3 linked regions of the Arabidopsis thaliana genome follow. The protein of the gene in region 1 interacts with the protein of each later gene in a pairwise test. Each region holds a gene or a part of one and is shown in the gene's direction. Other genes may lie near its edges. The genes, in order: AT5G55380, VP2 and AT1G31130.

The links.
Region 2: the proteins of AT5G55380 (region 1) and VP2 interact in a protein complementation assay, tested with the Arabidopsis thaliana proteins (one large-scale study listed by BioGRID).
Region 3: the proteins of AT5G55380 (region 1) and AT1G31130 interact in a protein complementation assay, tested with the Arabidopsis thaliana proteins (one large-scale study listed by BioGRID).

Annotation. Positions count from the first base shown.
Region 1 is NC_003076.8:22,446,074-22,450,024, reverse strand, and holds AT5G55380 (MBOAT (membrane bound O-acyl transferase) family protein), read left to right. Parts: upstream 1-2,071; 5' UTR 2,072-2,153; coding exon 2,154-3,179; 3' UTR 3,180-3,401; downstream 3,402-3,951. Other genes in the region: EDM2 (ENHANCED DOWNY MILDEW 2), read left to right, coding at 1-60, 164-282, 388-451, 548-1,873; AT5G55370 (MBOAT (membrane bound O-acyl transferase) family protein), read left to right, coding at 3,909-3,951. UniProt on the Arabidopsis thaliana protein: Catalyzes the final step in the synthesis of long-chain linear esters (waxes).
Region 2 is NC_003070.9:29,669,783-29,677,602, forward strand, and holds VP2 (vacuolar H+-pyrophosphatase 2), read left to right. Parts: upstream 1-1,712; 5' UTR 1,713-1,909; intron 1,910-1,997; exon of another isoform or gene 1,998-2,209; intron 2,210-2,303; 5' UTR 2,304-2,557; coding exon 2,558-2,656; intron 2,657-2,826; coding exon 2,827-3,030; intron 3,031-3,140; coding exon 3,141-3,292; intron 3,293-3,380; coding exon 3,381-3,528; intron 3,529-3,604; coding exon 3,605-3,737; intron 3,738-4,058; coding exon 4,059-4,231; intron 4,232-4,380; coding exon 4,381-4,501; intron 4,502-4,993; coding exon 4,994-5,181; intron 5,182-5,361; coding exon 5,362-5,799; intron 5,800-5,879; coding exon 5,880-6,044; intron 6,045-6,120; coding exon 6,121-6,276; intron 6,277-6,361; coding exon 6,362-6,473; intron 6,474-6,573; coding exon 6,574-6,793; intron 6,794-6,879; coding exon 6,880-6,979; 3' UTR 6,980-7,049; exon of another isoform or gene 7,050-7,166; coding exon of another isoform or gene 7,167-7,636; 3' UTR 7,637-7,733; downstream 7,734-7,820. Other genes in the region: AT1G78915 (Tetratricopeptide repeat (TPR)-like superfamily protein), read right to left, coding at 1-19, 138-217, 332-437, 707-794, 956-993, 1,079-1,107, 1,189-1,299; AT1G78922 (uncharacterized protein), read right to left, coding at 7,167-7,636, 7,734-7,820. UniProt on the Arabidopsis thaliana protein: Pyrophosphatase active in both inorganic pyrophosphate hydrolysis and H(+) translocation.
Region 3 is NC_003070.9:11,114,163-11,117,949, reverse strand, and holds AT1G31130 (polyadenylate-binding protein 1-B-binding protein), read left to right. Parts: upstream 1-1,754; 5' UTR 1,755-2,021; coding exon 2,022-2,987; 3' UTR 2,988-3,257; downstream 3,258-3,787.

The DNA of each region.
Region 1 (3,951 bases):
TTTGAGAGAAAGGATTGGATGACTGTAAGTAAAGATGAGTTGGAACCAGGTTCAAAGCTGGTAAGACACAAATTTCCTTTAGTATGAACTTTGTGTAAGCTCCAGTGTCATTGAAATAGTTTGAGTAGTATCTGACTGTTTATATTTTTGGAATTATGAGTAGATTATGGGGCTAAATCCACCATTTGGAGTCAATGCTTCTCTTGCAAACAAGTTTATTACCAAGGCTCTTGAGTTCCGCCCAAAGATTCTCATTCTCATTGTTCCTCCCGAGACTGAAAGGTTTCAGTTTCCATCTATCTCATCTGCTCCTCTGTACCATTCCATAACACTAATATATCGACTCCTCTCTCTCTCTCTTGTTAAATCTATCACTTTTCTCAACAGGTTAGATAAAAAGAAGTCATCATATGTGCTTATATGGGAGGATAAGACGTTCCTATCTGGAAATGTAAATCTTTCGCTTTTCTTTTGATTTTGCTTTTTGAGAGATTGAGCCTTTATTGAGTTTCAGTTACATGTTATGCTTCTTGCCTATTCCTTTCAGTCATTTTACCTGCCTGGTTCTGTCAATGAAGAAGACAAGCAATTGGAAGACTGGAACCTTGTTCCTCCGCCACTTTCTCTCTGGAGTCGGTCCGACTTTGCAGCCAAGCACAAGAAAATAGCGGAGAAGCATTGCCATTTGTCTAGGGATGTGGGGAGCTCAAAGTTAAAGATAGTGGAAGAAGAAGCAAACGCATCTTTGCATCCACTTGGAGCTTCTGATGGCATGTGTGATGATATTCCTATGGAAAAGGATGAACTTGAGGTAGCTGAATGCGTTAATAAAATCTTAGTCTCTGAGAAAATCGACACAGTAGAAACTGTAGCACGTGTACATCAGTCAGATCACTTGTCACGGAGAAGTCAGCTGAAAAAGGAGGGAAAGACCAAAGACTACTCTGGTAGGAAGCTTGGGAAATCTATGGATTCTAATAATGTGGATTGGAAGAGCAATGACATGGAAGAGGATCAAGGAGAGTTGAGTAGAGCACCAGAGAGCATCAAAGTAAAAATTCCCGAAATGACATCTGATTGGCAGAGTCCTGTTAGGTCTTCCCCAGATGATATATATGCTGTCTGCACATCAATTTCCACTACAACACCTCAAAGATCTCACGAGGCTGTAGAAGCATCTCTGCCTGCAATAACAAGGACAAAAAGTAACTTGGGAAAGAATATTAGAGAACATGGTTGTAAAGTGCAGGGCACTGGAAAACCTGAAGTGAGTCGGGATAGGCCTAGCTCTGTGAGAACTTCTAGAGAGGACATCTACACTGTTCGTCCATCGCCAGAAAATACGGGTCAGAAACCGTTTGAAGCTTTTGAACCATCTTATGGTGCAAGTTTGTCCCATTTCGACGATGGTCTTGCTGCTAAGTATGGTGGTTTCGGTGGAGGCTATAGAATGCCGGATCCTCCTTTCCTACCGGATCAGTTTCCATTGAGAAATGGTCCTAACGAGATGTTTGATTTCCGAGGATATTCAGACCTTGATAGAGGGATTGGTCAAAGAGAATATCCACAGCAGTACGGTGGGCACTTGGACCCCATGTTAGCTCCTCCTCCTCCTCCAAATCTGATGGACAATGCATTCCCATTGCAACAACGTTATGCGCCTCATTTCGATCAAATGAATTACCAGAGGATGAGCTCTTTCCCACCTCAGCCTCCATTGCAACCTAGCGGACATAATCTCTTAAATCCTCATGACTTTCCACTGCCACCGCCACCACCTAGTGACTTCGAAATGAGTCCAAGGGGTTTTGCCCCTGGCCCGAACCCGAACTACCCTTATATGAGTCGATCTGGCGGTTGGATTAATGACTAGATCAGCACTCATTATCCTTGTAGTTGCAACATTAGTAGTTTGATTGATCTTTTGTGTCTCACTCTACGAAAGTGTAGGAAGAATAGAAGAAATCTATAACTTTTCTCTGCCACTCACATGTGTAGCTAGTGGGCCTTTTAGCTGTTTAATAATATAAAAGAAAAAGAAGCCAGCTTCTATTGTCTTAAACTTTTGAGTCATATTTTGTGGTAATTCTTTAATACAGGACCACGTCAAACTCTGCTGCTTCCACAGAATTAGCAAACGACAGATCTGAGAAATGGAAGAAAAGTTTAGAAACTTAATCGAGGTATGGATCTCTGCTTTAATCTCTCTATCTTACTGTTATTACATATCGTCTAAACTCTCCAAAGGTGTTCTTCGTCTCCTCTCTATTCTTCCAGTCTGCATTCTGTTTCTTGTTCTTCCTCTGTTCCTCTCTTGTGTGCACTTTTGCGCCATTTCAGTTCTTTTTCTTTCATGGCTTGCAAACTTTAAGCTTCTTCTATTTGCCTTTGATGAGGGACCTTTGTTCCCACTTCCTCCAAAACTCTCCCGTTTCATCTGCTTCGCTTGTTTACCCATCAAAATCAGACAAGACCCTTCTCCAAATGCGATACCAAATCTTCATCCTAAACCTATGCCTAAATGGGTTTTGGCTGTTAAAATTTTGGTCTTGGGCGTCTTGTTACATGTTTATGAATACAGGGATGGTTTGCCTCGGTTTGTTGTCTTGGCTCTCTATTGTCTCCATATTTACCTTGAGGTAGAACTTGTCTTGGTCTTTGTTGGAGCCGTGGTATCTACTCTTCTTGGGTGTAACATCGAGCCGGTGTTCAATGAGCCCTACCTAGCTACCTCCCTACAAGACTTCTGGAGCCGCAGATGGAACCTCATGGTTTCAGCCGTCCTACGCTCAACCGTTCACATTCCGGTTCAGCGTTTTTTCAAACGCATACTCAGTCCAGACGGGGCTATGTTTGCTGGGGTCATGGCATCGTTCTTTGTCTCAGGCTTGATGCATGAGCTGCTCTACTTTTACATGATCCGTAAGCCTCCAACTTGGGAAGTCACTTGTTTCTTTGTGTTGCATGGTGCTGCCACTGCCACTGAGATAGCGGTGAAGAGAACACAATGGTTGAGGCCACCGCACCGGGCTGTCTCTGGTCTTGTAGTTCTGACGTTTGTGAGTGTGACGGGCGTTTGGCTATTCCTCGCTCAAGTGCTGAGAAACAATGTCCATGAGAAAGCGATTGGAGAATGTTTATTGGTTCTTGACCTAGCCAAGTTATTCACTTCTTCATGATTCTTTATTAAAGGCAAAGAGCGGTAGCAGAGCAACCAAACTTTGTTTCTCTTCATTGTTTGAAAACGTATATAGAAGTGTGAGACACGTCGTCTAGTGTGAAACATTCTTGACATGCTATTAAATTGAATCAAGCTCAACAAATTCAATAAATATGGCGTAAATGTTTTCTAAGTTCTAACAAATGATGAAATATGAACATCTTACTTTGTATATTATTAATGCAATATTTGTTAGAAGAATTTTAAAATAAAACAAACTCTGCCAAATCTATAATCTTACTTTAATCATGCCGCGTCGTTTGTCTGGATTTGTCATACGAACATTCCGAATCTATTTGGATTTCTTGATTTTATAATGTAAAAGAAAATGTAATATGGAGTTTTTTCTAAGATTCATTTATCTTTTACTTGCGAATTGAAAATCTGGTAAATACATATATGTTATTTCCAAATCATTAAATAATTGAATAATACAAGTTTAAAAAATAAAAAAAATGAAAGTACATGAGACAATAAACCCTCTAACTTTGAAGTTCTATCCTTTTACCTCTTTGAAAAAAATAGTTTTTGAATGATCCAAAATAAAAATGACGCAAACTTGACAAATTAGAAACGTATTACCAGTTATGGTTTTTGGCATTATTCATGTTCTTCTGGTTGTAGATAACATTATTTAAGTCGCATCATTATGAAACAGTTAGCAACCAACAGAACCAAGAGAGAAAAGATGGAAGAAGAGTTGAGAAACCTAATCAAGGTTTGGATCTCTG
Region 2 (7,820 bases), on another chromosome or scaffold:
GAAACCAACCCAGCTGATCCTAAGAACATATGATGTCATCAGAATCTTTACACAAACAATTACAAACTGGAATAAAAAGAAGGAAAATGACAAACAGTAACATGGTGTAAATGACACAGTTATGACTTGGACTTCACTTAACGCACCTTCCCGTGGGAAGAAAGTCACCAAGAGCAAAAACCAAACCAAATACAACAACAGCTATGCCAACTCCAACCTGTCATGGCATGGGCCCAAGTTTTGTCATGTTATGTATGAGTAGCTTATAGGCCTCAAGTGGTTTTAGAACAAAATAAAAAATAAACACTTGCAAGATGTTATGTATGCGTACCTTAGTACCAAGACCAATTGTTTTCTGGTCAGACTTGACTGGTGCATCATAGTCAATTGGACCAAATTCTTTAACTACTTCTGTCTTTTTCTGCTCAAGAGCTGACCTGATTCATCAAAAGAGCAGAGGTCACAGAAATAACATTCCGATCAGTGGGAGGACAATGATCTTGACTATGTCTAGGGGGTGAGGGAAGTGGAAAGCAAGACAAGTGATGAACAAATCAAGAAAAAAAAAGAATCAAACTTTCATAGGAAGATCATGTCGTTGTGGGTATAATGAGAAAGTCAAGTGTGATTGTCAGAGGAATAATCCTATTGTAACCTATATATCTCTAAAGCCAATCTTCATGCTAGAATCATAAAACATAGGTACCTTCTGATGTTTTCCAGCCGTTCATCGAAGTCTATATCAAAAGATCGACCAGATTTTCCTTCAAACTGAGTATTCAGACCAGGTGCCTCTGCAAACAAATGCAGGAGTTTCTTGAGCAAACCTTTCAATTGAAACCAACTTTTTGAGATAAACTGAAGAATGCAAAAATGAAGTTATGTTCGAGACACCATGAAGGAGAGCAGCAACATCTGTTACGTACAATATGCTTTAAAATCAAATTATACTTACTTCTGGGTACAGAAACAGACTGTTTAGAAGATGATTTCCTGCAGCAAAGAAGTCCATATGAAAATATAACAACAGCAATTTAAAATTCTAAATGCTTTAAACAAACACAAAAACTATTTATACCTTTGCTGCAATGCCGGGTCTTTCTCTTCCTGTGATGCGATTTCACATTTTTGTCTCAGTACTTTGAATCAACAAAATTAAGTTGAACAAAGAAGAATTTGGAATCAAACCTTTTTTGAGCCGAAGCCACGCTTAGGGTTAGAATCCGAGCAACGTATTCGAAATAGGAGAAGCTTCGAGTTAAATGAAACGGAGGTCGTCGCCGCTAGTGTCATCAACATCCTCTGTTTGTATTGTCCTAACCAAAACAGAGAATTTTCTAAGAAAGTTTCAAAGAAATAATGAGAAGTAACGGCTACGAAGAGAAATTCGTCCGCCGGAGATTGACGATGAAAGGTGAGCTCCGTGATCGGGCCGGTAAGATAACGTTAGTGGTTCTTCTTCTTCTTCACTTTGCAGATTGTCTATTATATGGGCCGAATGGCAAAACATAATTTTGGGCTAGGCCCATATAATATTCAAATGTTAATATTCCAAAATTGATGGGTATTTTTGATAATTTAACTCGATCTATATAATTTAACAAACGAGGATGATTTTAAGTTTTTAACTTTTTAAGTGAGAATAGTGATTAAGTGTCAACGACTCATTGGATAGGATGTGTCATAAAATTAGTATTGAACCACTGAGGAGTGAAAATAAAATTAAAGGTAGAAAAATTAATTTAGGAAAAAAATATTCGGAAAGTTCTGTGAAAAGTCTTCGGATTTAGAACGGAGACAGCGAGAGGATAGAGCGCTTCTTCGGCTACAACAAGCTTTCGCTAATGGCGGTTTCCTTCTGATCACTCTCACCGGAGCCGTCATCTTCTCTGTTTTACCGATTTTTAGGGTTTGTTTCCGGATAAACTCTTCGTATGCTTTTTTTTTTTCGTTGGATTCGTTTCTGGAAACGTATCCATTTCCTGTCTAGAGATCATGTGAATTTCTCTTAGAACAGAACTCAGATCTAAATTAAAGTAACGGTGCTTGATTCATTAAACTCGGAATGCAAAGTCCCTTGCGTTTTATTCACTGAAATCTTAGTCGATTAGATCTTGAGGTCTGTTTGTTAATCGCACTTTTCTGGGGAATTGATCGTAGAAGCAATTACGCTCATGGGAAATGATGAAAGTTATAGCTAAACTTTACTGTAGAACCTTACTCTGATTATATTTCATTTAAAAATGCTATTTGGTTGGTAAAGAGAAACATCACAACTTTTCATACTTTTCTATTTTTTTCAGAAATTTTGATTGTGGTGGAAACTTGTTGTGGCAACTCTACTGAGAAAGTTTGAAGAAGCTGGAATCAAAGATATAGCTAGAGTTAAGAGGGTTCATACTAACTTGTGCTCGTTTTGTGATGTGCTGTTGTTAACGTTTGGAGGAAAAAGTTGTAGTGTATTAAAATTCAGCGTCCGAGTTCTGGGGCGGAGTTGCCCCATAGCATTGACTTTACGCCTCTACACATAGTCCGAAGGGCTAATTCAGCTCAAAACATGATGATGGATGAAGATGTTGAGCAGGCCAGTTTGATGTCTTTCAATGACAGGCCTAGGGCTTTTCCCAACATGCGTAGTAAAACCTATAGTCCACTGGTACAACTTTTATTCCTCTCTTTCTTGAGTGCTTTTCTTTTTGCTTGCATCAGATCACTGAGATGCGTATTATAACTAGTTTCCTTCTATTTCGTTTAGCATCTTAGTTTCTTGAGCATCTCGTTTTCATTTTCTTTGAAATTGTATAAAGTTTAGTTGTTTTTTGGCAGATATTCCGGATTATTAGGAAATTAAATGTCCGTGTCCTTTCGATAATTCTGCTTTTCTGCTTCGGAGCAATCTTTTACATGGGGGCAAGTACTTCTCCCATCATCGTGTTCGTCTTCACAGTATGCATCATCAGCTTCCTTTTGTCAATATATCTAACCAAGTGGGTTTTAGCGAAAGATGAAGGACCTCCAGAGATGGTTGAGGTAAGCTCACTCAGATTATGTGGTGTTAGTCATGATGTTGACATTTTTCCTTCTTTGTTCTCATCAAAAATTTGTAATTCTAATTTGTGAGGTAATTCTCTTACTTATAGATATCAGATGCTATACGTGATGGAGCTGAAGGTTTTTTCAGAACGCAGTATAGCACTATATCCAAGATGGCCATTTTGCTAGCTTTTGTGATTCTTTGCATATATCTATTCCGTAGCTTAACTCCCCAGCAAGAGGCTGCTGGTTTAGGAAGGTGCTGATACATGATTACATTCACAAGATTTATTTTATCTTTTGAATTGTTGTGAATGAAGCTTAGCCATATTACTATTTTGCTGCAGGGCGATGTCTGCTTATATTACTGTTGCTGCATTTCTTTTGGGGGCTCTATGCTCAGGTATTGCTGGATATGTTGGAATGTGGGTGTCAGTTCGTGCTAATGTGCGGGTCTCCAGTGCTGCCAGACGATCTGCGAGAGAAGCATTGCAGGTTCTTCTTTAGTTTAGCTATTTTGGTAACATGTCATGTACACGTTTCCAAATACTAAGTGGCAGATATAATGCAGATAGCCGTTCGTGCTGGTGGGTTTTCAGCCCTGGTTGTTGTTGGTATGGCTGTGATTGGTATCGCCATCCTCTATTCTACATTTTATGTGTGGTTGGGCGTGGGTTCACCAGGCTCAATGAATGTTACTGACCGTAAGTCTTCTGCTCTTTTTTTTTTATGAAAAATATTCATTTTCGTCTTGTGTGTATATTCTATAATCATTGTACTGAGTTTCAAAAAGTTATTGTTATCTTTTCAAAGGATCATTTTCAGACATGAGCAGTATTTTCTTAAATATGTCATGACTTGTATTAATCTTGATTGAGGTGGGGTACCAATACAGTTCTAAGATTTTCAGTGAACCCTATATGTAATTCTCTTGATTTATTGACCAGAATTTGCATTTGCATGGGCGATAGTGGAGCTATTAAACTTGTAAGATTTATTGATTGAATTTTCTGTTTCTCTTACAGTACCTCTTCTTCTTGTCGGATATGGTTTTGGTGCTTCGTTTGTTGCCTTATTTGCTCAGTTGGGTGGTGGAATATATACTAAGGGAGCTGATGTTGGGGCAGATCTCGTTGGGAAAGTTGAGCAGGGAATTCCCGAGGATGATCCTCGAAATCCTGCTGTTATTGCTGATTTGGTATTTGATCTTTGTTCTTTTTGTTTCTTACTTTCTTGATTCTGTGATTCCCAAACGTGACATCCTTGTTTGGGGCATATATCACTCTACAAGGGTTTGCTTGTGTTTTCGTCATTTAGGCATTTAAAGCCATTTTCATCTTCTTGTAGGTTGGAGACAATGTGGGGGACTGTGCTGCTAGAGGTGCTGATTTATTTGAAAGTATAGCTGCAGAAATCATCAGTGCAATGATACTAGGTGGAACAATGGCTAAGAAGTGCAAAATTGAAGGTGCACCATCTCTCTTTAAAGTTACTTCTGGTATATGCAAATATATAACTTATGGTGTGAGTTCCTGACTCATACCGAGAAAATTAAATGAACTGCTAGGATTTTATAATCTGAAATGCAAACTTAGGAAGAGTTGCATAGAGAGTTCAAGCTCGTAAATTACATTCTGTATACAGAATAATCTACGCTTTATTGCATGTTTTGGTCACTCCTTGAGGATTTGAGGGTACATTATTACTTGTTAGGATTTAAAAAGTCGACATAAGTTGTATAGAGTTATTGTTTGAAGCACCTTGTACGAACCTGCTATGCATTGTGTGAAAATTGAAGGAAGACTACTTTTCATGACAGCAAGCTACACTTGGCTGCAGTCAAAAAATTTCAATAACATTACCCATTTCTAGCAGTGGTTGTTAGATATGCGCTGATAAACATCCTATTAAACCTCTTGTTCATGCTTGATACTTACTCAAATCTTTCTCTATTATGCAGATCCATCAGGCTTTATCCTTTTTCCTCTAGTTGTTCATTCTTTTGACTTGATTATATCCTCAATTGGTATTCTATCAATCAAGGGAACACGTGATGCTAGTGTGAAATCTCCGGTAGAGGATCCAATGGCTGTACTTCAGAAAGGATATTCTCTGACAATTATATTAGCTGTTATAACATTTGGCGCGGTAATGTTGTCACACATAACCATTGATTGTCTTGTTCCTTTCATTCTTTTTACAATTAATTCTGCTTTTTATGGGCTTTTTGGTTCAGACTTTTCATTAGCCTACACTAGCCTTGTTATTACTGAAATTTCGAACAAATTCTTTGCTATATTCTTCTGACAGCATTATTTATGTTTGTAGTCGACTCGCTGGCTGCTTTACACTGAACAAGCTCCATCTGCATGGTTCAATTTCGCCCTATGTGGGTTGGTTGGCATCATCACAGCCTATATCTTTGTCTGGATATCCAAATATTATACAGACTATAAGCACGAGCCTGTTCGGACGTTGGCTCTTGCTAGCTCGACTGGTCATGGGACTAATATCATTGCTGGAGTAAGCTTGGGCCTGGAATCAACTGCTCTTCCAGTTTTGACTATAAGTGTAGCTATTATTTCTGCGTATTGGTTGGGCAATACCTCGGGTCTAGTGGACGAAAATGGTATTCCCACTGGAGGTCTATTTGGAACAGCCGTTGCTACAATGGGAATGCTAAGCACTGCAGCTTATGTCCTTACTATGGACATGTTTGGCCCCATAGCTGACAACGCTGGTGGGATTGTCGAGATGAGCCAGCAGGTAAGATGTCACATGATTGGCTTGAAAGGCTCTTATGTTCCATCTTTATTCTATGTAGAAATAATAAATGTTTCGTGCAGCCAGAGAGTGTCCGTGAGATCACTGATCTTCTTGATGCTGTTGGGAACACCACAAAAGCAACAACGAAAGGGTTTGCCATTGGATCTGCTGCACTTGCATCATTCCTTCTCTTTAGTGCGTATATGGACGAGGTTTCAGCGTTTGCTAATGTGTCTTTCAAAGAGGTAGATTTCGTTATGCATCGTTGCTGTATTCTCGATGTTGAGACAACTTCTCATACTCATCCTCGGATAAAATCAGGTTGATATTGCTATCCCAGAAGTGTTCGTTGGTGGATTATTGGGTGCCATGCTTATTTTCCTCTTTAGTGCTTGGGCATGCGCGGCAGTTGGTCGAACTGCACAAGAGGTTGTCAACGAAGTAAGAAGGCAATTTATTGAGAGGCCTGGCATAATGGTGAGCATATTTTTCCTTTTGAGTGCTTCACCTTTTCTTGTGTATTGGCTTGTACCGTTGTTGACTAGCAAATATCTTGTTGCAGGAGTACAAGGAGAAGCCAGATTATAGTCGCTGTGTCGCCATAGTCGCATCTGCAGCTTTAAGAGAAATGATAAAGCCAGGAGCTTTAGCTATTGCATCACCCATTGTAGTTGGTAAGTCAGTAATATCTACTCGTTTTTCTTTACTTACTGTATTGAAAGTTTGAAACCACAACATTGTGACCAAAAACAAACCTCTTGTTCTCTCTTTCAGGTTTGGTGTTTCGAATCTTGGGTTACTACACAGGACAACCTCTGCTCGGAGCAAAAGTTGTAGCTTCTATGCTCATGTTTGCAACAGTTTGTGGTATCTTAATGGCACTTTTCCTAAACACGGCGGGAGGTGCTTGGGACAATGCAAAGAAATACATAGAGACCGGGGCACTTGGGGGCAAAGGAAGTGAAGCTCACAAAGCAGCTGTGACTGGTGATACGTAAGTATTTTCGTTCTACTTCAACACTCATTCAAAGTTATATTCCTGAATACGATTTCTCATTAGAATTCATCTGAAAATTGTAGCGTGGGAGATCCGTTCAAGGACACAGCCGGTCCATCCATTCACGTCCTCATAAAAATGCTTGCGACTATAACTCTCGTCATGGCTCCGGTTTTCCTCTGAAAGTGAACCGTTACTTATCCATCCCGGCTTATTTACTCTCTTGCACATATACAAATAGAGAGGGAGAGAGGTTGGTTATAAAATGATTTACATGGATTAATGGTTTTTGTGTTTCATTTCATCTGAATAAATGAGATAATTCTGTTTTTGAGTTTAGAGACACTCTTTAAGGAATTCTAGAGACATTTTAATCAACCACATCTTTGACTTTGAGAGTCTTTATTTTCCTCGATTTAATCTTTCTAGTACTTCTTCTTACTCTTCTTGATTTGCCTCCAACTCGTACAGACAATTGTCTACTCGGTAGTCTTATGAGACGGCGGTTGTTGCGATTGCTGCCATGATGGTGGTGGCTGTGTTTGCTTCCTAGTCTTCTTCTTCTCTGCTTTGGTCTAATGTTATCTATTCGACTGGGACTGTCCGATGAACTTGATTCATCATCACTCGGATAATCATAGGTCGTAGCTTCTATATCATCGAGACGTTTTCTGCGACGGTTGACCCGATTTATGTTAGTCAAACTGTGACACAAGCAACTAATCATCTCTCCAATGTCGAACCAGTACGCTGCACAAGCGGCACATGACATTTTGCAGATACTTTTCACAACACATTGGCAAATTCCAAGCTTGAACAGGAGGGTGATGAACATCAAAACTGGGAAAAAGAAACAAATACAAAATTATAGAAAACAAAGGAAAGTTCACAGAATCAATAGTGAATGCTAAAAATCGGAAATAAGAGAAAGGTTTACTTATGAAACAGAGGCTTGACATCAGCACAAGCTTTGCAATATCAGGAAGACAGAAATGTTCTATGAAACACTCAAGATCCCATGGTC
Region 3 (3,787 bases), on another chromosome or scaffold:
GCTTTTTTTTTTTTTTTTTAGCAAATGAAACCTTGAGATCAACAGTTTCTATTTAGATAGGGACTGCTACTTTTGTAAGTATGGTTTGGATGGTTCATTAAATAATAATAGGTATTCTTACTAAATTTATTAAATAATAATAGGTATTTCTTTAGTTTGTGTTAGGATATGCTTATATTTAGGGAGAATTAGTTGTTATGACTTGTGAATTCGATTTAGGGTTTGAATGGTTATGGCGGTTGGGACGGACAAAACCGTCAACGAATCAGACTATTTTTATTTACAATTCATCAATGACCAAAAAAAATAGAAGAAAACCGCAGCGGATCATCTACGGACCGTTTTTACATACAAATAAACTTGGTCCGCAGCGGTTTATTGTTCGCCTCAAAAATGAGATGGACTAAATCGCAGACAAATTAAACCGCTTTGTCCGCTACCTCCATTCATAGTCTTACTGTTATAAATTACGTGTTGGGGTATTTATTTATTTTTCAATATTTTGATGATACACGGTCTATTATTTTTCTTGTAATAAGGCTTTAAGAGGCAAGTGTTTAGTTTAAGTATTGGTTTATTACATTCCATTAGTCATTCGATTAAAGTAGCTAGTGTAGAAAGAACCTAGTGCCAGAAGAAAAAAGATTAAAACACATTCGATTAAAAACACATTTGTTACATATCTTTATAAAAGTTAGAAAACCAAAACAAAAGTTGAAACTTGAGAGTATATAATCATGGACCGGCCGGTCTTGTCCATTTCTTATATTTCTCTATTCGAAATTGAAAGTATAATTAAAGAAATCGTGTGTGTAGGATAGTGCTTATACACCAACATTTGATTGCTAGTTCTATTTCCTTACGTAAACTTATAAGATCTCCAAATTAAACACATACAAAAAGTTACAAGTTCAATATTCATTGCAAAGATAATTTTCACATCTATTAATTATGTAAATTAGTAGTATTTAAGTTGACATGGACAGTTAACTGTTGGGACCATCGGTCCATGTGATTTCCCTGCACCTCAGATTCAGTGGAAGTAAGCATTAATCTTTGATTTTGTTTCTATCATAAATTAACTTCATCAGAAAATTTATTAATCCTATTTCAAACAAGGTCGTATCAATAAAACTTTTTTTTTTCTTCTTCGTATTAATAAACTTTTAACATCATTAATTTTCTGTTTGCTCTTTTTAAAGTTTTGATCCTGATTTCCTCATTATTACGTGAAAACAAATCAAAACATACATAATCACACATACAACCGAAATATCAAACCATTAAACTTTCATTTTTCAGATTACAATATTCAAAAAAAAAAAAAAAACAGATTACAACATTTCTGATATGTCGTTCAAATTAAATCATATTTATTCTTTGAACTTATTTATTTAATTTCAAAATGTAAATAAATAACATTAAAAAAATGTAGTACATATATATGTATTACAAATATGAAAATCTGAATACTCTTCTAGAGTATTCTTCACGGTGAATATTAGGTATTAGGTGCATAATTAAACTCTATCAAAATTAGATTTACCCTATCTTACCATTTCTTTGTAAGTATACAAGATTCATAAACTCTATAGAAAGTCTAGTTCCATGATTGCGTCTCAGCTCATGCAAAGAGAGTTGTGCTCATAAAACTTGACCAAATCTCCTTTTCCTTTTTGTCCATCTCTTTACCACTTACATATTTTCCCATAAAATAACGATTCCATCATATTAATTAAAGCAAAAAATAAACAATTAGTTGCCCCCCCCCCCCAAAAAAAAATGGTCACAATAACAATACTAGTCAAAACGTGTTATATGAGTTTCCCAGAAGTTTCCAAGGAAAAAAAAAGTCTTTACCCGTAAACATTTTTTCTCCATCTTCTTGATATCAACAAAACACACCTCAACAAAAAAAAAAAAACTTCATCTCTCTCAGATTTCGAAATTGACCCGTCGGTGATTCTTAATCTCTCCTCTCTGTTCTTCTCCGATCAAACCTCATTCCAAAGAAACAAACCATGGATCTCCAACCAGAAGAGCTTCAATTCTTGACAATACCTCAACTACTTCAAGAATCAATCTCAATCAAGAAACGATCTCCAAGAACCTTCTACCTCATAACCCTCTCCTTCATCTTCCCTCTCTCCTTCGCTATCCTCGCTCACTCACTCTTCACTCAACCAATCTTAGCCAAACTCGACAAATCCGACCCACCAAACTCAGATCGTTCACGTCATGATTGGACTGTTCTTCTAATCTTCCAGTTCAGTTACTTGATCTTCCTCTTTGCCTTCTCTCTTCTCTCAACCGCTGCTGTTGTCTTCACCGTCGCTTCTCTTTACACCGGAAAGCCTGTTTCTTTCTCGTCAACTCTCTCTGCGATTCCCAAAGTCTTTAAACGACTCTTTATAACTTTCCTTTGGGTTGCTCTGTTGATGTTTGCTTATAACGCAGTCTTCTTTGTCTTCCTCGTGATGCTTCTCGTAGCTCTTGATTTGAATAGTTTAGGTTTAGCTATTGTAGCCGGGGTTATAATCTCTGTTCTATACTTTGGTGTTCATGTTTATTTCACTGCTTTATGGCATTTAGGTAGTGTAATCTCTGTTCTTGAACCGGTTTACGGAATCGCCGCTATGAGAAAAGCTTATGAGTTGCTTAAAGGGAAGACTAAGATGGCTATGGGGTTAATCTTTGTTTATCTTTTCCTCTGTGGATTGATTGGAGTTGTTTTTGGTGCTGTTGTGGTTCATGGTGGTGGGAAGTATGGAACTTTTACTAGGACTTTGGTTGGTGGATTGTTAGTTGGTGTTCTTGTGATGGTTAATCTTGTGGGTTTGTTGGTTCAGAGTGTGTTTTACTATGTTTGTAAGAGTTATCATCATCAGACTATTGATAAGACCGCTTTGTATGATCAACTTGGTGGGTATCTTGGAGATTATGTGCCTCTTAAGAGCAACATTCAGTTGGAGGATTTAGATATTTGAAGATTTGTCAAGATGATGATTCTCTTGTACTGTTTTTCTTCTCTTATTACCATTCTCTCTCTCTCTTTGTAGTTTGTAATATTGGAGAAGAAGAAGAAATTTGGAATCTGAACAATAGTTTTAATGTAATGTGTATGTATTAGACTCAACACTCTTTGTTGTTGTTTTCATTTGATTATTATTACATGATTTGAGTTTACTAATTTATTCTTGTTGAAAGATGTGTTTTATTCTTCTCATGTTGATGATAATTATTATCCGTTAAAAATGTTGGGTTTTAGATGCTTAAATTGATAATAAATGAAGGAAGTGGCTTGTTTAGATATGTAATTAGCTGTAGGATTTGACCTTGGAATTAACCTACACTAAGTTAAGGTCGTAGGAGCAATTATTGTGGATACTTTTGTAATGTTTATAAATCTGAATTTTTGTTCGTGAGTGGGAGGTTTGGTTACACAACTTACACTAAACCGAATGGAAACCAAATTTAAAACTTAATTCAAAGAAGAAGAAGAAAACAAAAATACATCTTCATTCATTTTTAATCTGATTTTATCAATTTTTATTTTGTATTATGTGAATTTAAAGTTAGATGGTGATGTATCAACAACACTAACCCAAATAGTAACTAATGCTAAATATCGTGAATCATGATCAATGAAACAAATTTGGAATAATAAGTCAATGTGAATCATGCAATGTTTTGTTTTGTTACCCTGATCATGCATTGTTTTGTTTTGGAACAAAAATTGTCCTTTTTTTTGTTAATATATAAATGAATGAACCATATACATGCCACA